Linked DNA regions of Coturnix japonica. The protein of the gene in region 1 interacts with the protein of each later gene in a pairwise test. Links are inferred from orthologs where the notes say so. Each region holds a gene or a part of one and is shown in the gene's direction. Other genes may lie near its edges.

Region 1 (3,375 bases):
AAAACAAAGCTTCCAAAAGAATATTGTTTTCATAAGAGTATTTTTGGCTTGCTGGATATCTCTCTTGAGATTTAAGAATATTCAAAATGCCTCAATTTAATAAGGGAAGTTACACCTGTTTTAATTTGTGGACTAGTTTTAAGAACATCTCGTGGTTAAAAGAAGCAACAACTTAGTAAAGTTACCCTTTCTGCTTCCTGCAGAACAGCCAGACACCATCCTTACCAACACTGTATGCAATAGTCTCTCACTTCCAGAAGCTGTTTGATGTGAATTCTCTGAATGGCATTTACCCACGAATGAATGAGGTGTACACAAAACTTGGGGAACTGACCAATGCTATGAGAAATCTCCATGAGCTCCTGGAACTAGGTAAAGACTCATCACCTACCACTTGTTCAGGCTATTTCCAAAGGAAAAGCTTTGTTTTATGAGCACTTACTTACTAATTCTCCTTTATCAATTGAAACATAAGGTTTTTTGTTTGTTTTAAATTGTTTTGGAATAACAAACTTTGCTCTAGATTTCTTCTCAGTAACTCATTCCAGGGTAAGCATGTTCAGTCCTTAAGAACACCCCTTTACAATCCTAAATGTTTACTTGTTCTTTTAAGTATTGAATGTCAAGAACTAAGTGCCACCAGTAGTCACTTCCAGGTGCCTATTCATTCTCTTCTGGTTTTGCACTTCTGAAGAACAGCAGCTGCTAATCTTCCCTGAGTTCATGGGTTTAGAGGCTTGGCTGTGCTGCAGGGTGTACAGCCAGAGGGCAAGGCTCCTAAACTACTGAAGCCTTCTGAAGTCTCATTCAAAGAGGGAAGCAGACTTCCTGCCTGCCACCACCAACAGGAAATGAAGAAGCTTCTCATCCCCTTGTAATTACAAAGCAATGGAGTTCAGTGGACACCTTCTCACAATTAGTTCATCTGAAACTGAGTGAGGAAAGGAAAAGAACCTGGTATTTTTACCTTTCATCATAGTAGCCAAAGCAGGTTAAAACAAGCAAACAGAGCAAGTTCTTGCTACTAACAAAATATCAGGAAACAGTTCCCTCTATGATACATGAAAGTTCAATAGAATCTGGGCACCTGCAAGAACTGAATTATGTCTTCTTTTCCTGTTATTACTCTTACCAGAAACATGAAGTTGTGTTTTCCAGATAGTTCAGCTCCACCCACCATGGTGGTGGATACAGTTGGGAAACTGTGTGACATAATTAACGAGAATGTGACTGAACAACTACGGCGGCTCCTGGGGACACAAGACATCCACAGGTATTTAGTTCTGTTCCACTGGCAACAGTTCTGCAAACAGAAATCTTATGAACTGACAGAGTTGCCTAAAATTGATACTGGAGGAGACTTCTGTCCTTTGCTACAGTGCTGTGACAGTAAAGGATTTACTACTATCCTACATGGAACAAGTCTTGAACACTTTCTAAAGGGTATTTCTGGTAAATAGAAAAAAATAAGGTTCCCTTAGCACTACCTTGTTGATTTGCATGGATACAGTGATCAAAAAAGCCTCTTAAGCTTATGTTTCATAAGGAGACATAGCAAGTGCTGTATGTTGGTGGGGATGCGAAACTACTTCAAGGTTGCGACTGTAATATTGAAATGTATTAGCTGCTGAGAGAACGTACACCTCAAGCTTCCTGAAAATCTTTCGAGAGCTGGACAAATCATCAACAAATGAGAACACAGAGGTGGTAGCAAGTTGTAAGAGCTTGCATTCAGAATGTGCTGTACAAGTGTACAAAGAGATTAACTGCAGCAGTAAATTTGTAACAGGCAAAGTGAACAACGGTGACACCATCAACCTTTCAGTGCTCCATGCAGTTTTAACTATAGACAAGCTGCTTATAATGTTCTTGCCTCCACCTCTAGCTCTTATACTACCTGGGTTGCTGATATATTTAGCATATACAGGCTGCTGCTCCAGACCAAAAATTACACAGCACTGTATAAGGAGGAAAATATATTGGGCAGAAACAGTGAAATCAAAAATAATCTGACTTTTAACAATTGTTGGCTTCAGGTTTCAGTACATGAGGATGCGTTTTTGGTGCAGGTGTATTTGTATATACTAAGTAACAGTAGTTTCAGAAAGCAGTGACACTGTATGGCAAAAAAGCCAAGAAAACGAACTTAATATGTTCTTATAGTTTTGCAGTAACGGTCTTACTTTCAAATCTCAGTATCATCAATAAGCTAGAAGAACATGAATGCTTCTTTCCACCGTTTCAAGCCCTCATTCAAGATTTGCTCTCTCTTCTAGGTGAGTAACATTTCCATGCTGTAATTATCTCCATGGCAGAGCTCCCTCCCAGGCTGTTAAATAGCTAACACACTTTGTTTACTCCTGGTGTGCAAAAAAACACAAGGAAATTGTGAGAAAAGGTGCTAAGCCTTACCTTGCTCTGCTAAGAAAGCTACTGAAATAATGAAGTTTTCATTGAAAAATGGGGTCATTTACATTCAACCATAAAACTTATAAGCTAAAATAACGTTTTTCTTCCCCCAAAAGCATGAAGAGGTTTGAGGAGTTTATTCTCTGCAGTAGTTTTTTTGCTCACTGGCCGTATTTCTAACACTTAAGCTAGAATTATGATTGAACTTTAAAGTGTTTTATATACAACTCATACAATTCTGCTTTTCATTCTGTTTCAGAGATCAATAACCTGGATGATATTTTACCTACTGTACGAAAGCTGAAATTGGTAGCTAGTTAAGGGATAGTTTGATCTATCCTGGGAAGACTTAACCTGTGAGGCAGCCTTGTTGGTTCACATGTCATTACAGCTACCTCTAACCTCTGTTACTAATGAACAGTTTCAGACTTTTTAATATAAATAAAAGTTTGGCTTTGCCACTTCATTCTTTTAGTTTCTCTGCATTCTTACACTGACCACGAAACAAGAAAAATAACCACAATAACCTGTTCTGTCCTGGAGAGAGGACCAATACATACCGTACTGATATAGGAAACTGAAGCCAACACAAAAGCAAAGACCACAAAGGCACTTACCTTTCTGAATGTAGCTCATCAGCAGGTATGAGATGACGTTGCTCAGAGTGCCCTATAGATGTAATACTTTCATCATTACCTTGGTCGTCTTGAGAGCCTATTTTAAAATGCTGTTTAGATCTTCAGCTAGGTTTATTTTTTTTTTGGTTATGGATTGAAACACACCACATTAATGTAATCTAGGCTGAACACATTTTAAGCCTACATCAGAACATGGTTTACAGCTTTTTGCCTAGAAGGGATTTGAAGTTACCACGCTTATATTCTACCATCACTTTTAGAAGGGCATAGATAAAGTTCCTTAAGCAAGACATGTCAGAGTTTATTGTAAACAAACAAGTACACCAAG
Region 2 (4,135 bases), on another chromosome or scaffold:
ACTGCTTTCAATATGCAATTTATCTGTCAAATTCACCCGAGAATACATAGATAACAGTAGAATTGTTATTATACCATTGAGGGAAAAACTGACAGCTTCAAGATTAGTGTTTTCTCATGGTTTAGTGGCAGCTATTAGTGGTTTAGTGGCAGCTATTAGTAATATGTGGATGGTTGTACTGAATAATCTTTCAGGTCTTTTCTAACCTTGGTGATTTTATGATTCTATGTGCTTTGGAAGCAGGTGTGCCTACCAGCTCTGCAGCTGCTTCAGAGCATTACATCTGTTAGTCCTCAAACTTCCATCTCAGTACAGACAAAATATGTAATACGCTGAACCTAATTCAAGGGACAGGTCAGTTATCTGTCCTTTGTAAACCCAAAGCCACGCTTTTCTAAGCACAATAACTGCCTTACCCGGTCTTCACTACCTTAATGTTTACTTTTCCAGCATTGGCTATGATGGACTTTCAACCTTGGCTCCCAGTTTCTTATAGGCACGTGTTTCCAAAGTGGAAGAAGGTTGTAGTGCATCTCAAAGCCAAACAAAGGCACCAAAGCAGCAGCAAGTTGTACAGCACTGGACTCTATATCAGCTCAGAGCCTTTCACAGCAAGCTTTGTTCAGAACAGAAATGTTGGAGCTTCTTTTGAAACGAGCTATATTTCAGTCATGCAACAGCATAACCTGCTACGAGGGCAAACCAGCAGCTCCAGGCACAAGCAGCTGGTTACATGCTACCTATAAACCAGCCCCAGAAATCATTAACTCCTTAGGCACACGCCTGCTGCACGTAACAAAATAGGAACCTTTCATGGAAGAAAAAGCGAGACTTTGAGCTCAAAGTTCAGCTACCTCAAGTTCTGCCTGTAACAAGCAATAGAGCAAGAAAGCAAGCTGTCTATGTAGAGTGATTTCCATCTTAGCTGGGGGCTCGTCCGCTTCTATGGGCGATTCTCCCTTCTGTGAAGGAAGCTGTCACAGGAACGCTGCAAACGGGATGGCAGGAAACAACCGACACGTCGAGACACTGCGGCTTTTCTTTTCCAAGCAGGAAAGGGCAGAAAACGGAAAGGAGAAGTTAATGGCTGGATAGAAACGCTTCATAGCGGGGGGCTGGGGGGAGAAGGAAGCACAGCCAGAGCCACAGAGCCAACAGGGACAGCGCCAACGTGCAGATGAACTCAGCAGAGAAGCGAGAAGGGAAATTCAGGCCACGTAAACGAGGGTAAAAAGAGTCTAAAAAGAGTCCCGGAGCCAAACCTGCAGGAGCCACCCTCTGGAGACCCACAGCGAGCGGGAACCGCAGCCAATGCCCACAACCTGCGGCCGCCCATCCCCGCCCCCCTCACGGCACTCCCCGCCCCGTCCTGCTCTCGCGAGAGCCGAGCGCTATTTAAGCTCGGGGGCGGCCATTGCGCGCCCTTTCCGGAGGTGAAGCGTGAGGTGAGTGTTGGGTTGGTGATGGCGGTGCGCTGAATCCGCTGCCATCCGCCGTGTGAGGACCCGCTGTGAGGCTGGGGTAGAATCAAAGCACATCCTGTCGCTGAGCGATTCCTAGACGGAGCGCAAGGAAGGCCCTGGGGCGGGTGGGATGTGGGAAATGGGCTCCTCATGGCGGCCCGGGGCTGTGGTAGAGCGGCGGGAACCGCGCAAAATGTCCGCCCCGGGATGGTGGGCGGGAGGGGGCTACTGTGAGGGAGACACATACGTTCCTTGGATGTGAAAAGCTTTGCCTGGGGTAAAACATATTTAATTTCTTTCAGGGCAGATTAAAACATGAGTGATACAGATGAATCCCACACCTCTTGTTCTGATGATCCTGATGCTCAGAGTCTCGTATCCACTCAGAGGCGAAAAAGATCTAAAATACCTGAGCGTGCAGTGAATGCAAGGAAGAGACGTTTGTGCTCGAGGCAGAAGGACGCCACTCCTGAGGAGTCTTCAGATGAGACTAGTAGTACAAATACATCTTCATCTGAGGTGGATAGCAGCGATTCAGAAATGTGAGTTACCTGGTTCCTTAGAATCACTTACGAACAAGACTCATAAACGTATGTGCTCTGTTGAATGTACACGTTTCTTTTTCAGTGATGTTTCAGCTGCTCGGGGCAGCAAACGCTCTAGGAAATGCACTGCTCCCTCTGCGGAGCAAAAGAGGAGATCGCAGCCTTCAAGGAAACAAGCAGGAGCTGATGCACGAGTGTCTGATGGTGAAAGTCCTGACTCTTTGCTCCCTGAGAGCCCGGTGAGGCCACCTGAACCCTCCCAAAGGAGGAAATCCAAGCTCGATTTGAAAGCCATTTTTGCCTATCACTTCAGAGGAAGGAAGTTTAAAACTGCTGCGCACCGAAGATACAGGAGCGGTGTTTCACGGAAGACAAAGAGACGCTCGGAACCCCCAAAGAAGCGTGGTGGGAATCGGCCCATGACAGCCCCGCCTCAGGAGCGAAGGAGAAGGCTTCGGGATCCAGGCTTTCAGTTCCCTTTTGTTGAAAAACATTATGGGAGGAAACATATTCCCGTAAATATGGTTCTTAGCTATGAGGTGAGCCCTGTGTTTTGTGGGAGAGAACCAGCTGACCTAAGGCTGTCATTTAATGTTACAGTCTGGTTGATTATATAAATGGTTCATTTCTTTGTTTGTATTTAAGATCTATTCCTTTTTTTTGCAGCAAGCAGCTGCGAAGGGATATTTCCAGTATGTTGAAATGCTTAAAGCTGAAGAACACCTCAAAAAGGCTTTGAAATCCCTTGAAGCAAATGAAGACTTAGAAAGGGAATGTCTGACAGCGCGGAAACATAAATATTTAGATGACAAAGGCCCCATTTCTCCTATCCAGGAGACAAAGTAAGTTCATTTTCAGTAGTATAAAAGTTGCTGTTTTGTTCTCAACTTAAAGTCTGTGTGTTCAGCATTGCTGTCTTTATTGTCTGGCACGTGCATTATATTAATTGGTGAAATACCTCTTGGATTTTTCTGTAACTCAGTAATGGATTCTGTTGGCTTAGCACTGCTGTGTTGTGTGCTCTCTCCTCATCCTTAAAAGAGCAGAGAGAGAAAATAAGTAACAGCTCATGGCTTTAGATAAGGATCTTGTTCCACAGGCTCTCAGTGTAGCCTCATGTAGAAGTGGGAGCATCCCAGACCTGTAAGCTGTAGCGTTTCCATATGCATTATGAGGAAGTGGTGCTGCATTAGGAGAACAGCTTGTTTATGCTGCGCTACTGTAGAAGTACAGATTTGATTTGAATTTCCTGCCTTTCAGCAATGACGATGATAACTGCTTGGGCTCTGATAATCCAGAAGACTTTGATGTCAGAGTAGTGGTGAGTAAACATCCATAATTTGAAAACTATAACCTGTTTTCTCTTTTGAGGTGTTAAATAAGTAACAGATGATGCTTTGAGTACTTAATTCTTGAGCTTGGATCTGGAATTAACCAGTTTGTGTGGTTTTGGTGTGTAGTACAAGAGGAAATTGGTTTGAGAGAAGTCTGAGCTCTTTGGAATTATGTTGGGATGTGCGGAAATTGGGCAGTTCTCTGAAGCGTCCATAAAACTTCCTAAAGGAAGTTAGTAATAAATTGGTACTTCAAGTGTCTCCAAACCAGACTTGAGAATGCTGTTTTTTTTTGTTCTCAGGACAAAAGCTGTTTCATTATAAGCAGCAAAATTCCCAACAAGAAGAAGAAATCAAAGGCCAAAACAAAGCGAGCAAAGTCAGCTGGAGTGATTGAAGAAGAATGCTGCTGCTAAGTGATCCTGCTGAAATAGCACCTTCCGCAGCCTGGCTTGTGGAACCAGCAGGTCACAGAGCTACAGGACTAAGAGTTCCAGCTCTTGTAATTAAGCAGTGTAGAATAAACTAATTCTCCTAAATCCAATATCATAATCTCAAGCTGCTTTAAAACAACTAGCAGTGTGATGAAAAGTTCTATTCCCTTCTTCCCCTCCTCAGTCCAGAGTGGGGTCTTACGAAGGTGACTGAGCAGAGATAGAAGCCCTTCAGCACAACAGGGACTATCTGCTGATCTTGTAGCATGAATGGGAACTTGTTGCGGTTGCTCAGACTAGATGTAGGAGTGGGGTTCTGGCAGGGTAATGCAGTGAGGTGGGTGTGGAGTCCTGCTCAT
Region 3 (3,500 bases), on another chromosome or scaffold:
GTTCAGTGCTGTGCTGATGCAGTGGGGGTTAATGACAAGTGGTTGTTTCTAATGCCCTGCAAGCCTGTTAGAAAGCAGACTGGGAATGGATGCAATTATGGAAACTAATGTTGAATTGGGATTGAGCTCTGAGTGCAGACATCCTGCATGATACCCCCCAGTAAGTGGGTCAAATCCAGCTTTATTTAAAAGAGAAAAGCTGTCCCAGTAATTCCACCCAAGGAAAATCTGTTGGGATACTCAAGCATTCCTTTGCATACAGACACAGCCCAGCAGCTCTCCATCCTGCTACTAGGGTGCCTTTGTGGGATGGCACAAAAACTGCTGTTTCTGCATGGCATTCAGGTCACAGCTGGTTCAGCACATTATTGCCATTCCTAAAGAGGGGTCGTGATGAAGTCATGATGCAATAGCCTAATGTCTAAAAAAAAAAAAAATAGGACATCTACTGCCTTTCTAACCTGTAGATGACCTTCTTTATAGCTGTAGAGTGTGTATCAAGTTCCTGTAATAAATATGAACAGGTGTGTGGGCTTGTTAAGATATTTTTCTTTTACGAAGACTGCTTTTTTTCATGGTTATCATGTGATTTTTTTAGTGTTGTTCCTCCCACCCTCTCCAATAAAGCAGACTTTTTCTTGTTGGATTGGGGTGATTTGATGTCAGTGATATGTACAGCTGAAAGAAAGCAGCTATCAGTGTTCTACCACAGCAAGTAATAGAGTTTAACAGGTGGCTGAGAACAGCAGGGATCCCCTGGAAGATGGGATCCTGGGGACAGCGAGGTATGAAGCCCTGAAGGACCATAACTCACCTAATTAAAACGTCTGTGAGACCTCCACGTGCCACTCCACGTGCTTCACCTTTTGTTATGAAGAGAAAAAGAAATTCCCTTAAAATATGCAGCCTCAGCAGCAAATGTGCCCAGCTGTGGTTTTGGTGTGGAAAAGTGTGCATCAGAGCTGTTCTACCTCCTCCCTCACCAGGGAGTGAGCAAAACTATGATGCAAAAGCCGTATTAATTACTTGTCCAGGGAAGGGAGGGATTGTTTTCCTGCAGGGCAGAGGCAAAATGCACTGATGGGGCCCTTTTTTGGCTGGATCAGCGCTTTGGATGTGCTTTAATAGCAATGATGTTTCCTTCCTCCCACCTTCCCTCTAGTCGAGTTTACAGCTGATATGTGGTTTTGGGGGTGGGCTTTTGGAGTTTGTAAACGTTGAGGGGAAGAAAATGAAGGCTGTGCCTTAAATTAAAGGCTGAGAGGGGAAGATCATAATAAATTCTGAGCAACAACCTTTTTAGACTTGACTTGCCCTGACCTAACAAATCTATGCAAAATGCAAAGAACAACTCAGCCTTTAGTGAAGTTTGCAATTCCTCTCCGTTCTTGGTTTCAAAAAGCCACCATAAATCTCAGTGCAGTTTCCTAAGCTGTTCAGTTCCCTTCCCTGGAGAAGCTGCCATGAATGGCACGTTGGTTAAAAATGCACACAGTGTTTGCTCAGCATTATGGGGCTGTAGGGTTTTTTTTTGTGTATTTTTCTTCTTGCTGGGTAAGTAAATCAGCAGTGGAAACTCTTTCCTTGTTCAAATACTGGGGTGCAGTGAAGATAAAGGTGTTGCCAGTGAACCAATTCTTTTTAAATAACTCAGAAATCTTTGTTCAACATTAAGCAAACAGCTGATAATTCCACTTTGTGTGCTCTTATAGAGATCAATGCCCAGCATGAAAATACCAAAGCCTTTACCAGCATATGTTTGCTCCTTGTGCTACTGATACACAATTGCTTGCTCTTAAAAATGGCCTCTCTGAGAGGTTCTGTGCTGCAAAAAGCACTTGCAGGATGCAGAATGAAGCGGTCCAGGGTTAAAAATGTTCATTCTAAATCTGAGAGCAAGCAAAACTGTCTTGGAGGTGCAGAGGAGGAGACTAAAGAGCCATCATCTTGAAAGAAAATCAGCATAGCTCGTCAGGTCAGAGCAAAGGCCCTGATGGATGATGCCAATAATAAACAAAAGCAATGTGTTCTGCAAAATCTGGGGCTGAACAGAGCTCATACACATGGTGTTTTTACTGCATCCCAGTGGGGCTTGGTGTGATTTAGGGTAAGCAGCCAGAGAGTCCCTTTCAGAGAGTCAACAATTGCTCGCCATTGGCTTTGCTTGGCTGCTGGGTTATCTCTCCCTGCTTTAGTTTGGAGCAGATAAGGAGGGTATAATCAGCCTGGGAGTTTGCTTTGCTGAGAGCAGGCAGCTTGCTGCAGCTGAAATCAATCCTTGGTGTTTACATCTCTTGACATGCATGAGGGGGAAGGGAGGGGAGAGTGCTGCTAATGGGTGAGCATGGCAAACCTGGCTCTTGCAGAATGGTTATTTGCACACACAGGGAAGTTCTGTTTTAAGTGGAGGTCTAAGCATGAAACAAAGCTTTTGTTTGGTGTGGGCAGACACCTGAGTGCTTATAACCAAAGCCAAAGATGTGCTGGAGATGGGAGCGTGGATGAAGCTCATGAGCAATACTTCTTGAGAGTCATATACGTTGCTCTAGGTTTATTTAGTTGCTGTTCTTCAACTCAACCAGGCTTTTACAGGGAGATTTGATCCATGCAGTGTTATCTTGCAGAGCCACCAGTAACCACAAGGTCAAGGAAACGGTTGCGTTGGAACTGAGTTACGTGAACTCCAACCTGCAGCTGCTGAAGGAGGAGCTGGAAGAGCTGAATAGCTGCATGGATGTCTACCAGAATGACAGGTAGTAGGTTTTGCTTGGGGGTTGGCTGGAGAATAGAAGACCGGGGCATGGGATAGATTGGCTCTCCTTGTCCTGAGCATCCTTCTAGAGCATGATGGTTTCCAGTGGGATATTTAAGTAATTAAAACTGTACCCAGTCTCTTGTTCTAGCTGATCTTCGGCTGGTTTCTTTTCCTATCCAAGGGTATTAGGTTTTTCCCCCTCTTTCTGAGGTTAGACCTTTTGCTAATTGAGAAGTTCTGTCGCTTTGAAATGCACACCCAGTCACCTCACGCTTCACTCATTAAAGCCATTTCAAGGAGGTGAGAAAAGCAGAAATCACAAAGGCAGAAAAGGCCAGGGATGCTGCAGCAACCTGGAGCTACAGAAGTTAGTCCAAAACATCTGGATGGTGTCCATAAATCCATGTGCTTTGCTCATTGTCTTGTCCTCCTTTGAGGAGGTTGTTCTGCTTCTGGGGGCACAAAGTGCTGCAGGCAGCATCACTGACTCCCTTCTGTTTGCTGCACTGCTGCTAAGTGCAGAGCAAGGACAATCTGGATGTGTGAGTGTTGCATTAGGGTTGCAGAGAGAAGAGGAGGGTTGAGGAGGCTCCACCTGTGGTCATCAATAACCTTCACTACCCTGGATGTTTTCCCTCTTTCCCAACAGCGGGATGGTGATGGGAGATTGCAGTTTGGACTCCCAGGATTGCAGGCATCCTCCCTGAGCTATGCCCAAGTGTTTGTTTTGGTTCAAAAAGGAAAC
Region 4 (4,198 bases), on another chromosome or scaffold:
GCAGAACCTTGGGCTCACAGCCCCTAAAGCAGCACTTAATTCAGCTGTCCATCTCCTATGCTTTCCGACATTCAGAATACTGCAGGTCACCCAGCACAGCCTCCAGCTGACAGTATGCAAGCTCTATGGAGACTGTCCAGCCCCATGTATGTGGCCTGGATATCTCACAGCATCCTAAATAACACTAGTTGTTTATACAAACAAATTCTGTCCTGTTGTTTTGTGATGTTTTTTCACAGACGTGACATTGAGTTGATTCTCAGGAAAACCACAAGCTGTCAGAAAGGTCAGAAAGCAGCAAGTGAAAGGTTGTCTTCCTTCGGAGGTGCTCCTCCTGCCTGGAGACATTAGTCAGAGCACTGTGATCAATGGCACAGAGCCTAGTTGTAGGCCTGTAACTAGTGGTATTCTCCACAAGTCAGTGCTGGGTCCAAGCTTGTACAACAGTTGTCAGCAATCTGGATGAATGGATAGTCTACCCTCAGAAAGTATAATGATGTAGAGCTGGGGGGAGTGGATGACACACTAGAAGGCTGTGCTGCCATTCAACCAGAGCTGGACAGGCTGCAGAGTTGGGCAGAGGAACCTGATGGGGTTCAACATGAGCAAGTGAATAGTCTTGCACCTAGGGAGGAATAACTGCATGCACCAGTACAGGACAGGATATGACCTGCTGGAAAGGAGCTCTGCAAAGAAGGACCTGGGTGTCCTGATGGACAATGTGCTGGCCTGGTGAGGGCACATCTGGAGTGCTGTGTTCAGTTGTGGGCTCCTCCATTCAAGAAAGACAGGGAGCTATTAGAGAGAGTCTAGTGGAGAGCAACAAAGATAACTGGTGCCTGGAGCATCTCCCTTATGAGAAAAGGTTGAGACTTGGGGTGTTTCACTCTGGAGAAGGTTCTGAGGGTGTCTCATCACTGTTCACCCGAAGTCCAGGAGTCAGGTCAGTGGAGGTAGAGTCTTTTTGGTGGCATGCAGCAATAGAAATAGACCCGGGCTGGAAGGGACCTCAAGGATCATGTAGTTCCAACCCCTCTGCCTGGCAGGGCCACCAAACATACACATTTACTAGATCAGGTTGCCCAGGGCCCCGTCCAACCTGGTCTTGAACACCTCCAAGGACGGGGCATCCACAACCTCCCTGGGCAGCCTGTTCCAGGGCCTGACCACTCTCCTAGTGAAGAACTTCCCCCTAACATCCAACCTAAATCTTCCCTCTTTTAACTTAAAACCATTTCCCCGTGGGTCCTTTCCAACCCCAACGATTCTATGACTATGCTCTGAGAGAGAACGCAGACATTGCGAACACAGCCCCGCACAGCCATCACTGCCCAGCTTCCACAGCCTCCGCCCGCTCCACATGCTCCACCTCCCGCTCCTCCTCGCTCCGCCGCCGCGCAGGCCGCCATCGCGCACGGCCAGGAAGCGGAAGCTGCTGTGGAAGCTGCGGCGGCTCCTCTGGGCTGCTCGCGGGGCTGGAGGCTGTTTCCTGGGGGTCCCACCCGGCCCGGCCCGGTCTGCGGGTGAGGCGGGGAGAGGGCGGGGAGCCGTGCCCCCGCCGGACTCTGTTGGGGTGCCGCTGGTGTCGACATTGGGAACGCTGTCGTAGTTCGTAGGGGTGAGGCTGCCGAGGGCCGGTGGCGGGGCTGCGGGCCTTTATGTAAAGGGGTGTTTTTGTGTCGTTGCAGGCTGCTGGCGAGGAGCCTTCCTGCCGGCGAACGAGGCACCCGCCGCTGCGCTCCTTGTTGTGGGTGCGTTTGTTGTTCGGAGCGGGCTGAGGTCGCTCCCGTTCCTTCCTCCCCGGAGCCGGGGGAGCTCGCCGGCTTCGTGTGTGCCCGAGATTGCCGTCAGCTCCTTTTCTTCTGAGGCCTTGCTGAGTTTTAATTATTTGTAGGTTCTGGTGGTTGTAAAGTAATTTAAGATGTTTGTGCTGCTCGGTTTTAACTCGGTAATTGACTCTTGTCTTAAGAGACGTTGGTTGGGAATGGTTAAATGTCCAAAGAATGTTTACGGATAAGGGCTGTTTTATTTGACTACTGTGAGCCTGCAACTTTAAACTTGCATCTTTATTTATTTTTTTCTTATCCTGTGCTTTTTCTGTGTTATGGCTGCTGCAACGATAGTTCATGATACATCAGAAGCCGTAGAGCTCTGTGCTCCCTGTGGGTTATACCTTAAACCCATTACAAAAATGACCATCAGTGTGGCACTTCCTCAGCTGAAACAACCCGGAAAGTCCATCTCGAACTGGGAAGTGATGGAAAGACTGAAAGGGATGGTACAAACCCATCAGTTTTCCACTCTGCGGATTTCCAAAAGCACGATGGATTTCATCCGGTTCGAAGGAGAGGTTGAAAACAAAAGTTTAGTCAAGTCTTTTCTTGCGTGCCTTGATGGAAAAACGATCAAACTGAGTGGCTTCTCCGACATCTTAAAAGTCCGTGCCGCAGAATACAAGATTGACTTTCCTACCAGGCACGACTGGGACTCGTTTTTCCGTGATGCAAAAGATATGAATGAAACTTTGCCAGGAGAAAGGCCGGATACCATTCATCTAGAAGGCTTACCTTGTAAGTGGTTTGCAGCAAAGGACTCTGGCTCAGAAAAGCCAAGTGAAGAAGTCCTGACAAAAGTTTTCCAGAAATTTGGAGAAATACGTAACGTGGACATACCCATGTTGGACCCTTACAGAGAAGAAATGACTGGCAGAAACTTTCACACATTCAGCTTCGGAGGCCATTTAAATTTTGAGGCTTACGTTCAGTATCGGGAGTATGCAGGCTTCATTAAAGCCATGAATGCCCTGCGAGGAATGAAACTGATGTTTAAAGGCGATGATGGCAAGGCTGTGGCTTGCAATATAAAGGTGAGAAGTTGTTGTCACTGATAAATGTGAATTCCGTAGTCCCCTGTATTCCATACAGTTGTTTACTGTAGTGCTGAGAACAGCTGATGTTACTGTAGGGTTTGAGGAACCAGCTGTAATGCAGTTTTAAAAGGGAAGTGATAGAATAAACATGTTGTTAGACTGTAAACAAAGCGGGGTGAGGCTTTTATCTCTCTTTTTTCCCCCCCTAAGCAAAACATTTACTGATGTAAAAACAGCTAAGGAACTACCAGATATTGTGAACATAACTTGTTAACTGAATTTTAGAAAGTAATGTATATTTTCAAGTCTTGTGATTTAGTTTATAAAATAATCTGTAGCAAGTTCAGACTCGCTAAGGCTGAATTGAAAGTGCATTTTCTTTTATGTATAGTAACAATTAGGAATTCTGGGAAGAGTGACAGCCGTTATATTTGATACCTCTGCTGATAAGGAGATCTATCTGTCAAGTGTCGGAACTGTGAGGCAATGCTATGTGGCCTGGATGGCCTGTGGAATAGAGAGTTAATAGTGATTAGTGTACTTTGTGAACAGAAAGGCCATTCAAACATTGAAACAATACTTAGCTTATTCCATACGTTTTCTGTGAATCCAGTGTGTTGTATTCATAATATTTACATACCGACTTCTCCAAATTGCTTTCTCTGTTACTTCATTGTCGTAGGAAGTAAAGTTATTGATGGGAGATGATGTGGAACAAGTCGGTCTCTCCAGATGTTATATCTGTGCAAGTATGGCTTAAGGAAAGCTTGTTGTGATATATTTGGGGACTTGTCTGTGTATTTACATAATGGTTGAATTGCTTATTTATTTCAGCACGCTTAATTTTCATTCATCAAGTCAGCAAGTAGATTTCGGGAAAAAGCTGAAGTATTTATGTAATTTGGGAGCATTCAAATATTAATTGATTAAGTTGTAAGTTAGACACTTATTATCTTGTTATTAAAGTTGGTCAGCTGAAGCACAGACATTGCTGTTCGTATGCCCTCCTATTCTCAAGGGGATGTGAAATTCAAACTGTCACTTGCATGCAGTGGATTGAGGTTCCCAAATTTAGTTTCTCTGTGCAAGAGAACGCATGCCTTCCTAGCAGCTGCCCTGGGATTGATAGCAAGAGAGAAGGCTGTGTCTGTGCTGTCAAGACAGATCGCTTTCATGCAAGGTCACCAGACTGCCCAACTCTGTTTCTACAGGGCTTTTATTGAAGCATTACTTTTATGTTGTCTGAACAAATTAAACTGCACAGTATGTATGCCTTGTTCTGTGCTCCATGGTTCGTGTCTTCCAAAGTACAGTGGCTTGTGTTACAGA
Region 5 (4,153 bases), on another chromosome or scaffold:
ATACATTGAAGCTCGCTCCTTGCCATGGTGACACGGGAACCATTAGGTAGGAACACGCTGTGATAACCACACAAAATTGATATCTCAGCTGATGACTGGGAGCGGAGCAGGAGCTGGGCACAGAGCTCTAATTGTCATCGGGACATCAAGGCCAGGAACACCAGGAAGGACTTGCCTACCCCCAAGCACTGCTGCTGCAGGAGCACAAAGCCACCAGTGCCCGAGGCAGCGGGACAACTGCAGCACTGGGGTCTGGCTGCACGCACAGCAGAATCACAGGGACCCTGGAGCGGCCAAAAGCTCTGCCTGGGCCTGCTCAGTGGCAGCTCTTCTCCTGCCACAGCACCAGCAGGGTCAGGCTTACCCAGGAGCTGTTGTGCCCAGGGGACCCACCCTGCCAGCACAAGGGAATGCTGAGGTCAGTCCCCAGGAGCAGGTCTCACTGCCTGGCACCCCCGTGCTGATTTCCCGGAAGATAAAACCTCTTCCCTTCTTTTGGGGAGGCACCGCAGCGCTGCAGACGCGGTTGTGGTGGCTGGTGACCCAGTTTTTCCTGGCTTCAAGAGAAATCTTATCTCCTGTGGTTGGCTGCTACCGCGTGGGCAGCTGCTACGAGTTGGCGCTGGGCTGCTTTCCTGCGAAACCCAACTGGTGTGTGAAGGGCTCTGACGTGAGCAGCAACAGCTGGGGCAGGAAACCTGCCCGCTTCCATGTAGGGGCTGCTCCTGCGGGTAATTCCCTCTGCCCTGGGCCGGTGCTGCGGGAAAGTCCTGGCAGCCAGAGGGCGGGGGACAGCCCGGGGAGAGCCCTGCAGAGCGATGGTAACCGGTAAATTCAGCACCGAGGTACGCCGCGCATTCAGCACGATGGTAACCCGGGCATTCCAAGCACCGATGGGCAACCCGTTTCAGCACCGTGGTAACCCGTATTCAGCACCGATGTAACCCGGTATTCAGCACCGATGGTAACCCGGTATTCAGCACCGATGGTAACCCGGTATTCAGCACCGACACTGAGCGCAGCCTCCAGCCGCAGCCACACGAGCAGCAGGGGCAGGACTCGGCAGCCGGCCCCGGGAATCCCGGGCAGGGACCCGGCGCGGGCCGGGGCTACGTGCGGCCGGCTCCGCAGCACGTCACCACTCCCGAGCCCCGAAGCGATGAGCGGAGAGATCACAGCGGGGCCGATCTGAGCCCTGAGGGGAACCGAGCCCTGAGGGGAACCGCCGCTGCACCGCGACCGGACCGGGCCGAAACCAGCTCCACATCCGGCCACAGGAGCCGGAAATGACCTCCACGCTGAGCGTCACTTCCGGCGGCTTGCGACGGTTCGGCGCGCGTTCACTTCCGGTACGCCGGCGGAAGCGGGAGTTGCAGTTCCGGGTGAGCGGTCGGTCTGTCGGTCTGTCGGTCGGTCGGTGCTGTGAGCGGCTGCGGTTCGTCCCGTCCCGTCCCGCCGCCATGTCGGCCCCCAGCGCTCTCGTGAAGCAGCCGCCCATCCAGTCCACGGCGGGCGCCGTGCCCGTCCGCAATGAGAAGGGTGAGTGCGGGGCGCCGGGAGGGGCGGGGGGCGCGGGCACGGCGGCGGCGTGAATGTTCATGGCATGAATGCACATGGCTGCCCATGGCGCCCTGCTCATGGCCCGGCTGCCCATGGCTGCCCATGGCTGCTCACGGCTGTTCATGGCCCGGCTGCCCATGGCGCCCTGCTCATGGCCCGGCTGCTCATGGCTTCCCGCTGCTGTTCCTCCCGCTGCTGTTCCCCCCCCTCCCGCAGGCGAGCTGTCTATGGAGAAGGTGAAGGTGAAGCGGTACGTGTCGGGGAAGCGGCCCGACTACGCGCCCATGGAATCCTCGGAGGAGGAGGACGAGGAGTTCCAGTTCATCAAGAAGGCGAAGGAGCAGGAGGTGGAGCCCGAGGAGCAGGAGGAGGAGGTCGCCAACGACCCGCGGCTGCGGCGGCTGCAGAACCGCATCACTGAGGACGTGGAGGAGCGGTGAGTGCTCGGCTCCGGGCTCTGCTCCCTCCTCGTGCTCCCCCCCAGCTTTGTGTTTCCGGGCTCCTGAGCACGCAGGGGATGCCTCTTTCCTTCACACGCTTCGTGGTCCCGGGTCTGACTACGGTCTCATTAGAAACAGATCGCAAAGATTTCTCTTCTTTAGTCTCCTTGTGTTCAGAGCTTCGTAGTCGAGTGGACATTTGTTGCAGGCTGGCAAGACACCGCAAAATTGTGGAGCCTGAAGTGGTCGGAGAGAGTGATTCTGAGGTAGAAGGTGAAGCGTGGCGTGTGGAGAGAGAGGACACCAGTGAAGAGGAAGAGGAAGAGATCGATGATGAGGTTCGTTATATTGCTGAGCAGATGTGGCCTGGGAAAGTCCCCTTAGGCCCTGTCTGGAATTCGTGCTTGCAGACACACGTGAACTGTGGTGAGACTGGGTGGATGTTGGGACCTGAGTTAAAGCCAGCTGTGGTGTGACCACAGCCTGTGGGTTATGGGGCACCAGGGAGGTCACCTGCGTTCTGAGGTGTGGGCTTATATAAGCAGTCAACATCATATCATATAAGCTCAACATCATGCTTTTTATATGGAAAAAGGAAGGAAGCGATAGTGGGGCTGGTTGGCTGAGTCTGTGTTTGATGTGTCTCCATTAGGAGATCGAGCGTCGGCGTGGGATGATGCGTCAGAGAGCGCAGGAGAGAAAAACTGAGGAGCTGGAAGTGATGGAGCTGGAAGATGAGGGCAGATCTGGAGAAGAGTCTGAGTCAGAGTCTGAGTACGAGGAGTACACAGACAGCGAGGATGAAATGGAGCCACGTCTCAAACCTGTCTTCATCCGCAAGTAGGTGATAAGGTGATACAGCTGCATGGGCCAAGCACTGCATCAGGGATGGGCAGTGACTGACCTGGTAGGGCATGGCTGGGTACTTCCAACTGGGGACTTTAGGCAGGTACAGCACAACAGAAACCAGGTAGTGTGCTCCAACATGTTCCACAGCCAGTAGCAGGGTCTCCCATCACCTTTGTGCATGTCTGCAGATGTGAGGAGACTGAGTATGGTCGCTCTTGAATGAGCAAAATCAGAAAGGAGAGAGCCTTGGGACTTGGCCCTGCCGTGGGGGGCATAAAGACTAAAAGAGGCTGCAGTGGGAGCAGAGGTCTGCAGTGGCATGTTGAAAGGCTGAAGGCTTTTGTGGTCCCTGCTCACAGGAAGGACCGGATCACAGTTCAGGAGCGAGAAGCAGAAGCCTTGAAGCAGAAGGAGCTAGAACAGGAGGCAAAGAGATTAGCAGAAGAGAGGCGCAAGTACACACTCAAGGTACAGCGGGGCAGACTGGGGCATGCATGTTGGGGCAGCCATTGCAGTGAGCTGAGCTTGGTCTTGGCTTCAGATCGTGGAAGAGGAGGCAAAGAAGGAGCTGGAAGAGAATAAGCGCTCGTTGGCAGCACTTGATGCTCTCGATACAGACGATGAGAATGATGAGGAGGAGTACGAGGCTTGGAAAGTACGTGAGCTGAAGCGCATCAAACGGGATCGTGAAGAACGAGAAGCGTAAGTACTGTCTGCTTAAGGCAGGGGAGGGTCCCTGCAGTCCCAGGCCCTGCAGGACAGCGGGCAGTTGAGGCGTCTCTTTCTCAGTCTTTGTTTTGGCAGCATCAGGAATTTTCTTGAGGTGCTTTACTCCATTATGGAGTCAGTCAACGTATTCGTCAGAAAGTCCCGGGTGGCAGCAGCTGTCCCATCTTGGGAGGGCACTGAGGGATGCAGGGGCTCAGGGTTTCTCTTTTGCCCAGCATGGAGAAAGAGAAGGCAGAGATCGAGCGGATGAGGAACCTGACAGAGGAGGAGCGCCGTGCCGAGCTGCGAGCCAACGGCAAAGTCATCACCAACAAGGCAGTGAAGGGCAAATACAAGTTCCTGCAGAAGTACTACCACCGTGGCGCCTTCTTCATGGTGAGTTCTGCTGCCAGGCCTGGGGCTGCGTGGACCACGTGGCTGTTTTGGGGGAGTTTTCCCTAGTGGTACCCAAGTAAGGGCTGGCCAAGCACACAGGACCAGAGCTGGCCCTCAACAGCAGCGTGCTGCTGAAGTGACTGAGGGGATCTGAGGTGCCTGTCAGGTCTGGCAGGCAGGGTGAGTAAAGACACGAATGC
Region 6 (3,946 bases), on another chromosome or scaffold:
GCACACACACAGCTTCCAATTCCTCTCTTTTTAAGCTAAAAACAGACATTCCATTTGACTCCTCCATGTTTCCCTTCCAGCATCCTATAGATCCTAAGAGCAACAAGTAGCAATGAAAGCAACTTGCATGACTAAAGGTGACACAAAGCACCGGGATTATAGGATTAAACCGCGATTATTCGATAATCCCTAAAGATAAATTAAATACAAACAGATCACACGTTTAACCAAACGCCCTCATTCTCAGCAGGGCTGAGGGAAAATCGCATCCCTGTTGCAAGCTGAGCTGGGAGAGAAACACAAGGGCAAATGTTCATACACACACATAGAAATGATGAGGAGATAAAGGTTAACCAACAGCAAAGGCCCATCTGTATAAGGGAGGGAAGGAGGGAGTAGGCCCAGAGCGCCTCAGGCCTACAGGGCCCACACCTCAGAGGCCTACAGGGCTCAGGCCTGCAGGGCCCACCTCAGGCCTGCAGGGCCCACACCGCAGAGGCCTACGGGGCCCACCTGAGGCCTACACAGCCAACCTCAGAGGCCTGCGGGGCCCACACCGCAGAGGCCTATAGGGCCCACCTCGGGCCTACGGGGCCCGCACCTCAGAGGCCTACGGGGCCCACCTCGGGCCTACAGGGCCCACCCCGCAGAGGCCTACATACAGGGCCCACACCACAGAGGCCTACAGGGCCCAACCTCAGAGGCCTACAGGGCTCAGGCCTACACGGCCCACCTCAGGCCTACACGGCCCGCCCAGCCCCGCCCGCCACAGCGAGGAGCCGCGGCCTAGTGCAAGACCGCACGCAGGGCAGACGGCAGCACCCCTTGACGAGGAGGGCCGTCCGGCCGCCGCTCCCCGCCTCCGCCGTAAAATGAACGGGGACTCACCGCCTTTCTCCTCCACCCAATCAATCACTCCATCACCCCGACGGCGCGTTTCTGCCCGGCCCCAACATGGCGCCACGCGGAGTGTCTGTGAACACCCGTTAGACTTCACTCCCTCACTCAACATGGCCGCCGCCGCAAGCCCCGATTCCCGCCGAGTTGGGGGGGGGGGGAGCCCAAAACCAAGATGGCCGCCCCAACTTCACTCTTAGACAGCCAAAAACAAAGATGGCGGCTCCCGCTGGCGTGAGGCTCGCGCGGCGTCACGTGACAAGGGGGGTGTGGGCCGCGTCCCGGCGGAAGCGTGAGGGACCGAGCGGGGAGTCGGGCTGGCGGCGGAACAGACGGGCCGTAGGGCGGGCGATACGGCCGGCACCACGGAGCCCGCCGGCACCAACACGGCGGCCAACGCCGCTTCACGAACCGGGGGAGCCGGGGAACAAGCAGCATCGCTGCCCCCGCCCCCTCCGAGGATGCCGCGCAGGAAGGTGAGTGAGGCCGGGGAGGGAGCGGCAGGGTCAGGACGTGGCTTTCTATCTTTCCCCTCCTTTCTATTTAACTGTTATGGGGAGAAAATAGGGGGGAAATAGCGGCCTGCAGCACCCCCACATCTGCGCCCGCCCCCCTCGCTCGCTTATTGGCTGTTGCAGAGACCCGCGCAGCGCTGATTGGCCGCCCCGCTCGTCACTCATCGCCCCCAACGGTTCCCCTTTTCCTCCCCCTCCGCCTGCAGCGCGTCCCTCCTCTCGGTTTCTCCCATTGGGCAAACGGTTAAAGAGTCGGCCGCCTATTGGCTGGGTTGTCACACTGGGCTGGCCGCTGATTGGCTACCACGGTTGTCCATCACCTCTCAACGGTCACCTCCCCGCGCGTGCCTCGTTCCTCCCCTCCCCCACCCCACTCCTCTCCGGTGGGGGTTGAGCAAACCTCTCCCTGATTGGCTACCACCAGCTGTCACTCACACCCTACCGGCATGCTCCTTCTCTCATTGGCGAGCTCACCTTTCCGGTCCCACCCACTCGCTTTATGATTGGCCGAGACTATAGAGCGCAAAACAAAGCGGCCTAAGGGCGGTGTGCGCGCTCAGTGGCCGCCACTCGCTCCTCACAGGCCCGGAGCCTGAAGGCCGCTGTCGTTATACAGGCCTCGTTTGCGGCCTAAGCTGAACACAGGCCTCTGGGCCTAAACCGAACACAGGCCTCTGGGCCTAAGCTGAACACAGGCCTCGGGTCTAAGCTGAACACAGCTTCGTTGCCTACCGTGCTCCCTCCTGTTGTTTTCCAGGCCCAGGTTTGCTCTGTGTGGTGTACAACTGACTCATCCCCTGCTAGGCCCCGTCTATTCCCCCCCATTACCCCTCTGGGCCTTCAGGGTGATGATTATTAATGACACAAAAGGGTTTATATCTGCCATGAAACGCTTGGCATTTATATATTGAACACATCACAGTGTCAACTCAATGTTATCTATCATATGCTTTCTATATGGGTTTATAACATGGCACATCACAGCATACACTCAATGTTATCATATGCTTTCTGTATGGGTTTTTAATGTGGCACATCACAGCATACACTCAATATCTATCATATGCTTTCTGTATGGGTTTATAAGGTGGCACATCACAGCATACACTCAATGTTATCATATGCTTTCTGTATGGGTTTATAACGTGGTATATCACAGCATACACTCAATGTTATCCATCATATGCTTTCTGTATGGGTTTTTAATGTGGTATATAAGCACATCCCTGCTGATATCCTTGTCTATGGTGTCGTAGAGGAACGCGGGCAGCAGCTCAGATGGAACAGAAGACTCGGATTTCTCCACGGATCCGGAGCACACGGACAGCTCTGAAAGCGACGCCACGTCACGACGGTCCGCCCGTGTCACCCGCTCCTCAGCCAGGCTCAGCCAGAGCTCCCAAGGTAAAGCACCTCATAACACATCAAGCAGGAGGATTTAACCTTGGTAGTTATATTGGTAAGCAAAAGAGGGAGGTAATCATATATGTCAAGATGTGCTTTCAAGGCTTGTTTTGCTTGCCTTTACGCCCAGTTTAAAAGAAGAAGCCTATGTCCACCTCCTGATTTTTAGCTTTACAATATCAATTCCTTGATCTCTTGGTTATTAAGCTGCCTCAAGGGGAGAAAATGGCAGTAGATAAGTTTGTTCCTTCTGTGTTGTTTTGTGATGGGTTTTCTTGTAGGTAAAAAACCTACTTGCATGCCTCAAAAACAAGAAGAAAAGTGGGTTGGGTTGGTATGTGGGATGCCTGTAATGCTGCTAGGGTATGAAAGCATTGTTTTCATGCAGAATAAACTGTTTTATAACCTTATGAGCAGTGTGTCTATATAAAACCATACGTGGTGTCCCAAATGTGTCTCTATACCAGGAGCAGCTTTGATATTCTCAAGAGTTTTCTAAATGCTGATAGCTGTAATCTAAGTTAATCGCTACTACTTTCTAAATGGGAACTGTTTGTAATTCCTAATCCATTAAGTTATTATCTCAGAGAAAGTGGATGTAATACCAGATCCATGTGTGTTTGTAAAAGTGAATTAGAAGAATATAAACGTATCTCCGTGATGATGTGCAATGGTTGCACAGAATCCTGTGCTGATACCCTATCAGATGTCGGTGTTACAGACATCAGAGCTCATGTGTTGCAGCTCACGGGCATTCATTGCTTCTTGTGGGTGTAATTATGGTGTTTCTATGACATTAGATTCCAGCCCAGTTCGCAATCCGCCCTCATTTGGAGCAGAAGAACCAGTCTATTCCACGAGGAGAGTGACCCGCAGCCAGCAGCAGCCTGCTCCTGTGACTCCAAAGAAATACCCACTCCGACAGACCCGCTCGTCTGGATCAGAAACAGAACAAGTGGTTGACTTCTCTGACAGAGGTACGTAGACACAGTGAGGTGTCGAGAGCTTGTAAAATGCCATTGGAAAGGATATGTGGCTCCATTCTCTGGGCACAGTGTGATATCCTCAGGTTAGAGGGTTTGAGACAGCTATCCAGAGTTGCTTTACATATATATATATATATTTGAAAG
Region 7 (4,210 bases), on another chromosome or scaffold:
TTTCCTGCAAGATGGGCACAGTGTCTCCTATAGGATATGATTGTGGTGTCACTTACACCACAGCGTAGTGTGTACACACACTGGCGTAGTGTATCCCTATGGGGGATGGCTGTGGTGTCACCAGGGGGTTGCTGGGCTTTATGTCCCTGTTATATGAGGACTTAGTGTGCTTTGGGCCTGCTGTCACCTATAGGACACAGGCTTTGTGGCCCCAGTGGGGTTACAGCCCCGTGGTCACTGGTGGGATGTGGGCGCAGTGTCCCCTGTGCTGTGTGTGCTGCTGTCAGCTGCGGGCCGTGGGTTTGGTGCCACCCGTGGGCTGTTTGCGGTGCCCCCTGTGCCCTATAAGGGCTGGGTGTCACCCATAGGACCCGGCTGTGCCACCAGCTTCATTCACAGGCCTGGTGCACCCCGCGCTGGGACACGGGCCTGGCTCCGGCTGCGGGACGCGGCGCTGCGTGCGGGACGCGGGGCTGGAGCTCCCGGCCATGCGGGACCCGGCGTCATCCCGGTGCGGGGCCCAGCTGTCACCGCACACCGGGGCCGGCCGCAGCCCTGCGGGACACTCGGCGCACACAGCCCGGTGCCGCTGCTCCCTCCGCACCGCGCCCCGCACAGGGCGGCACCACCGCGACCCCCCGCACCCGCTGCCCCGCGCTGCCCCGCGCCCCCCGCCCGGCTCCGGGCCGCCCCTCGTTGTGTGAAGGCCGGGACCCCCCGGGCCGAGGTTCGCGTTGTCCCGTGTCGCGGGGCGGGTTGCGGTGCGGGGCGGGTGCTGCGTGTTGGGCTCCGGGCGGGGGCGCCCTCGGGGGTCCCGGCCCCGCAGCGGGGGGCGAGTGGCGGCCCCGCATCAATCACCGCCCGGCCCCGCCCCCTCGGCGCTGATTGACGCGGCGCGGACCAATGGGACGGGCGCATGCCCCGCTGTCGGCCAATGGGGACGGGGGAGGGCGGAAGGTCCCCACTTCAAGGCTGGTTGAGCGGCGCAGGTAGGTGCGGGCGAGGCGCTGCCGGTGCGGGACGGCCGGGTCGGGATGGGGGGGGGTCGGGGTCGGAGGTGATGCGGGACACGGGGGGTGCGCGGGGGGTCCGGCCTCGTCCCGCCTCGTCCCGCCTCGTCCCGCAACTTGGGCTGCGTGTTGCGGGCCGCGGCTGGGAGGGAGAACGTGGAACGGGGGGGGGGGGCGGGACAGGAGGGGCCGTAGGGCGCGGGGTGGGCTCAGCGCTGCGGGGGGGGTCGGTGCGGGGCGGGGGGTCCGTCCGACAGGGCCTGAATTGCGGCCACGGGGAGCGAGGGCACATCCCGGGCCTGGGGGGGGCGGACGGATGGACGGCGGGGCGTGAAGGAGGCCCGGGGCTGCGACGGTCCCCCCGCATCGCATCGCATCGCATCGCAACAGCTCGGGCCCCGCTGCGCCCTCGGGACGGGCCTGGGCTGCGGGGTCGGTGCGGGGCCAACGGTCCCTTCCGCTGAGCGCGGCCGCTTCTCCCCGCAGCTCCCGGATCATCTCCCGGCTCCTCCCGGCCGCGCTTCGTCGGTAACTTGAAGAGCGGTGACCGCCCGGACCATGGGCCCCGCCGACATGGGCTGCCAGGTACGGCTCAATCCGCGCGGGGTCGGGGGGACGCTCAGGGCCGACAGCGGAACCTGCCCCAACGCCGTGTGCCCCAATGCCGGCTGCCCCCAATGCCGGCTGTGCCGTCCGGGCTCCGGGCCGCTTCCCGTCGGGGCTCGACACGGCCGCCATCCCCATCCCGGCTCCTTATGGAGCGCCGTGATTCGGAGCCGGAGGTGCCGGGCTGGGTCCGGCCCGTGTGGGCGGCGCTGGCAGCGCGTGGGTGATTCCCGGTGTCACCTCCGTGTTGGGGCAGCACCCGGGGCTGTGGGGCCAGGAAAAGGCCGATCCGTGCCGCTTCCTCGTGCCCTGCATCCTCACATCACCTGCATCCTCACATCACCACCTGCTCACTCACATCACCTGCTCACACCGCCGGCTCCTCGTTGGGTTTACACCGCTTGGCTCCTCCTGCCTCCATCCTGCTGTGTGTTGCTGATACCCGCAGCTCTGTGTGCCCCCGTTGGGCGGCTCTGGTGGGTTTGGTTTCCTGAATGTAGAGAAGTTCTTTTGCTGTGGGTGAAGCAGAAATCATTTCTCTGTCCTTTCACGCTGATATTAGACAAACCTGCTGTGGTATCTGAGCTCCATTGGCTGACACAACACTGGAGGCTCTTAGTGCGTGTGTATAAAGTAACTGTGGGTTGTTGTGTGGGCCTTGGGAATAAAGAAGCCTGTAAGTTTAGGAGGTTATGGCTGAACTTCTCCCAGGTTCCTGTGGCTCCTGTTCATAGGAAGCCAGCAAGGGGCTCGTCTGGGATCAGTCCTCGCTTCTACAGTGAGCTGTTGGCCAAGCAGGGCTCAGCACGTGGCTGCATGGAGTTTGATGGCGATGCTGTGTGCCCCGTGAGCTGTGTGTGTTAGTCACAGCATAGATCTGAGTAGCAAAGCATTGGGGCTGCTCCCCCCAGCAGGGCAGGTGGGGAATGGGGTGCAGGAGGGTGACTGCAGTGCCAGAGGAGCTGGAGAAACATCTCTGTGCTGATGGCTGAGGCTGCTCAGTGCTTCTGCTTGGAGGCACTGCAGAGGGTCTGGTTGACCTTCATTTCTTTGAGCTTTCTGTTCCTGTGTCAGCAGCGTTGAGCCTTTGACCAGTGAGTGTTCAACCACTTCTATGTCCTGTGCTCCTGGTGTGTGCTCAGTCTCAGGCACCTAATCCTGCTGTTGAAGTCTGCGGGTCTTCTTCATCAGAGAAGAAAGCTCCATTGTAGCTTGTAAGTTTTCACACAGCTCTTTACCTGCAGCTCCAGAGAGAGGAAGGGGGGGTTTCTGGGTGCACAATGCTGTGTCTGCTTGCTCCTTCACCTCTCGCAATGGTGGGAGAGCTGCAAACCCTGCCCTGCTGTGTTCCCCTCGCTGCCAGCAGCTGAGCCTTGCTATGGGAAACATCCTCAATAAGGAGAGCACGGAGGGGTCTGACTCTTCCTGCTGGTGATATCTGACATTTCCCTGCATGGCTGAGGGTTTGAAGGCAGGTGGATTGGGCTCAGGCTTGTGAAGCACCCAGGGCTCAAAGACCTGTTGGTGCAAGGCAATTCCATGGAGGGATCCTGGGAGCCCTAAATGTGGGTTGGGGGTTTTCTTGCTCAGGATAAAGGGATGTACATGAAGAACTTCAAGTGGAAGGGAGAGGGGCTGAGCTGCTTCCTCCTGTCCCAGTCCTTTGTGCAGCACACACTGTGTTTGCTGGGAATTGAGGTTCCAAACTCACCCTTTCTAGTTCTTCTGATTGATTTTCGTACATGAAAACTCCCAGATGGATTTGTCTGTAGCACAGCAATGCTGGATGTCACTCCTCAGTGGGAACACAAAGATGAGTACTGAGATGTGCAAGCATTGTCCCCAAACTCACCCTGCATCTCCTGGCTTTATGAGGTGTGGGCTCCTCGTGGTTAATGCAAGATCACTTTTCCCTTGATATAAAGCATTCACAATGGATGGGCAGCAGCTTCTATGAAGCACAGTCACTTTACTGAAAGATAAGACAAATAACATCATGATATAATTCAGTCTCTGAGGCAGTATATTGTACATTGCACAAAGCATTGTGGTTTCCATAACTTGCAACCTACTGCTTTAGCAGGAGGGTTGGACCTGGTGATCTCTAGATGTCCCTTCCAGCCCCCCATGCCCTTAATTTCTGCCATCATAGCGTTTCCTAAGCAAACATCCAAGAAAAGTGATGGGACCTGAGGTTTCTCTTGCACCTCTTGTGCAGTTTGACGTCTGTGTTTTGAGTGGATCTAAGCCAGCACGATGATACTGTTGGCAATGGAATGGGGATGTAAGTGATAAGGGGTTACAACTAGAGGTGTAAGTGGATGCTTTGCCATCTGTGAGCCCATAAAAGCTGGCTGGCTGGTCCCCAGATGAACTAAGTACTGAAATTTGGGGCTCTTTTTTGGGAGTACTCAGCGTGCTGTTCATCTTTGGAAACTACTTCATCGTGTTCCTTAAATGGGTAAAAACAGAGCTTCCCATCAGGGCTTTAGGTTAGGATTTCTGTGCAGAACACGTGGGGCTGCTGCTGTATCTTGGCAGGATGAAACCAAGGTCTTCGTCAGGGACTTAGTGGTGAGGTTAGTTACCTTCAC

Evidence for each region.
Region 2: the proteins of CEP70 (region 1) and TAF1D interact in binary tests that used the Homo sapiens proteins (3 or more experiments, as listed by UniProt). The link is inferred for Coturnix japonica from reciprocal best matches to the Homo sapiens genes CEP70 and TAF1D.
Region 3: the proteins of CEP70 (region 1) and RHPN1 interact in binary tests that used the Homo sapiens proteins (3 or more experiments, as listed by UniProt). The two-hybrid records come from large-scale screens. The link is inferred for Coturnix japonica from reciprocal best matches to the Homo sapiens genes CEP70 and RHPN1.
Region 4: the proteins of CEP70 (region 1) and AKAP17A interact in binary tests that used the Homo sapiens proteins (3 or more experiments, as listed by UniProt). The two-hybrid records come from large-scale screens. The link is inferred for Coturnix japonica from reciprocal best matches to the Homo sapiens genes CEP70 and AKAP17A.
Region 5: the proteins of CEP70 (region 1) and MFAP1 interact in binary tests that used the Homo sapiens proteins (3 or more experiments, as listed by UniProt). The two-hybrid records come from large-scale screens. The link is inferred for Coturnix japonica from reciprocal best matches to the Homo sapiens genes CEP70 and MFAP1.
Region 6: the proteins of CEP70 (region 1) and KAT7 interact in a two-hybrid assay, tested with the Homo sapiens proteins (2 studies listed by BioGRID and IntAct). The two-hybrid records come from large-scale screens. The link is inferred for Coturnix japonica from reciprocal best matches to the Homo sapiens genes CEP70 and KAT7.
Region 7: the proteins of CEP70 (region 1) and KANSL1 interact in binary tests that used the Homo sapiens proteins (3 or more experiments, as listed by UniProt). The two-hybrid records come from large-scale screens. The link is inferred for Coturnix japonica from reciprocal best matches to the Homo sapiens genes CEP70 and KANSL1.

The regions. Positions count from the first base shown.
Region 1 is NC_029522.1:18,779,387-18,782,761, reverse strand, and holds the end of CEP70 (centrosomal protein of 70 kDa), read left to right. Parts: intron 1-203; coding exon 204-372; intron 373-1,158; coding exon 1,159-1,273; intron 1,274-2,163; coding exon 2,164-2,276; intron 2,277-2,668; coding exon 2,669-2,730; 3' UTR 2,731-2,875; downstream 2,876-3,375.
Region 2 is NC_029516.1:166,172,905-166,177,039, forward strand, and holds the start of TAF1D (TATA box-binding protein-associated factor RNA polymerase I subunit D), read left to right. Parts: upstream 1-1,335; 5' UTR 1,336-1,445; intron 1,446-1,765; 5' UTR 1,766-1,778; coding exon 1,779-2,005; intron 2,006-2,090; coding exon 2,091-2,547; intron 2,548-2,674; coding exon 2,675-2,850; intron 2,851-3,268; coding exon 3,269-3,329; intron 3,330-3,644; coding exon 3,645-3,758; 3' UTR 3,759-4,135. UniProt on the Homo sapiens protein: Component of the transcription factor SL1/TIF-IB complex, which is involved in the assembly of the PIC (preinitiation complex) during RNA polymerase I-dependent transcription.
Region 3 is NC_029517.1:133,709,870-133,713,369, forward strand, and holds part of RHPN1 (rhophilin-1), read left to right. Parts: intron 1-2,624; coding exon 2,625-2,753; intron 2,754-3,500. UniProt on the Homo sapiens protein: Has no enzymatic activity. May serve as a target for Rho, and interact with some cytoskeletal component upon Rho binding or relay a Rho signal to other molecules.
Region 4 is NC_029516.1:116,242,508-116,246,705, reverse strand, and holds the start of AKAP17A (A-kinase anchor protein 17A), read left to right. Parts: upstream 1-1,398; 5' UTR 1,399-1,523; exon of another isoform or gene 1,524-1,688; 5' UTR 1,689-2,104; coding exon 2,105-2,866; intron 2,867-4,198. UniProt on the Homo sapiens protein: Splice factor regulating alternative splice site selection for certain mRNA precursors. Mediates regulation of pre-mRNA splicing in a PKA-dependent manner.
Region 5 is NC_029525.1:18,263,637-18,267,789, forward strand, and holds the start of MFAP1 (microfibrillar-associated protein 1), read left to right. Parts: upstream 1-1,353; 5' UTR 1,354-1,460; coding exon 1,461-1,539; intron 1,540-1,776; coding exon 1,777-1,996; intron 1,997-2,208; coding exon 2,209-2,338; intron 2,339-2,652; coding exon 2,653-2,840; intron 2,841-3,208; coding exon 3,209-3,317; intron 3,318-3,390; coding exon 3,391-3,551; intron 3,552-3,793; coding exon 3,794-3,953; intron 3,954-4,153. UniProt on the Homo sapiens protein: Involved in pre-mRNA splicing as a component of the spliceosome.
Region 6 is NC_029542.1:2,708,597-2,712,542, reverse strand, and holds the start of KAT7 (histone acetyltransferase KAT7), read left to right. Parts: upstream 1-1,146; 5' UTR 1,147-1,358; coding exon 1,359-1,373; intron 1,374-2,668; coding exon 2,669-2,816; intron 2,817-3,616; coding exon 3,617-3,793; intron 3,794-3,946. UniProt on the Homo sapiens protein: Catalytic subunit of histone acetyltransferase HBO1 complexes, which specifically mediate acetylation of histone H3 at 'Lys-14' (H3K14ac), thereby regulating various processes, such as gene transcription, protein ubiquitination, immune regulation, stem cell pluripotent and self-renewal maintenance and embryonic development.
Region 7 is NC_029542.1:2,310,763-2,314,972, forward strand, and holds the start of KANSL1 (KAT8 regulatory NSL complex subunit 1), read left to right. Parts: upstream 1-1,410; 5' UTR 1,411-1,595; intron 1,596-4,210. UniProt on the Homo sapiens protein: Non-catalytic component of the NSL histone acetyltransferase complex, a multiprotein complex that mediates histone H4 acetylation at 'Lys-5'- and 'Lys-8' (H4K5ac and H4K8ac) at transcription start sites and promotes transcription initiation.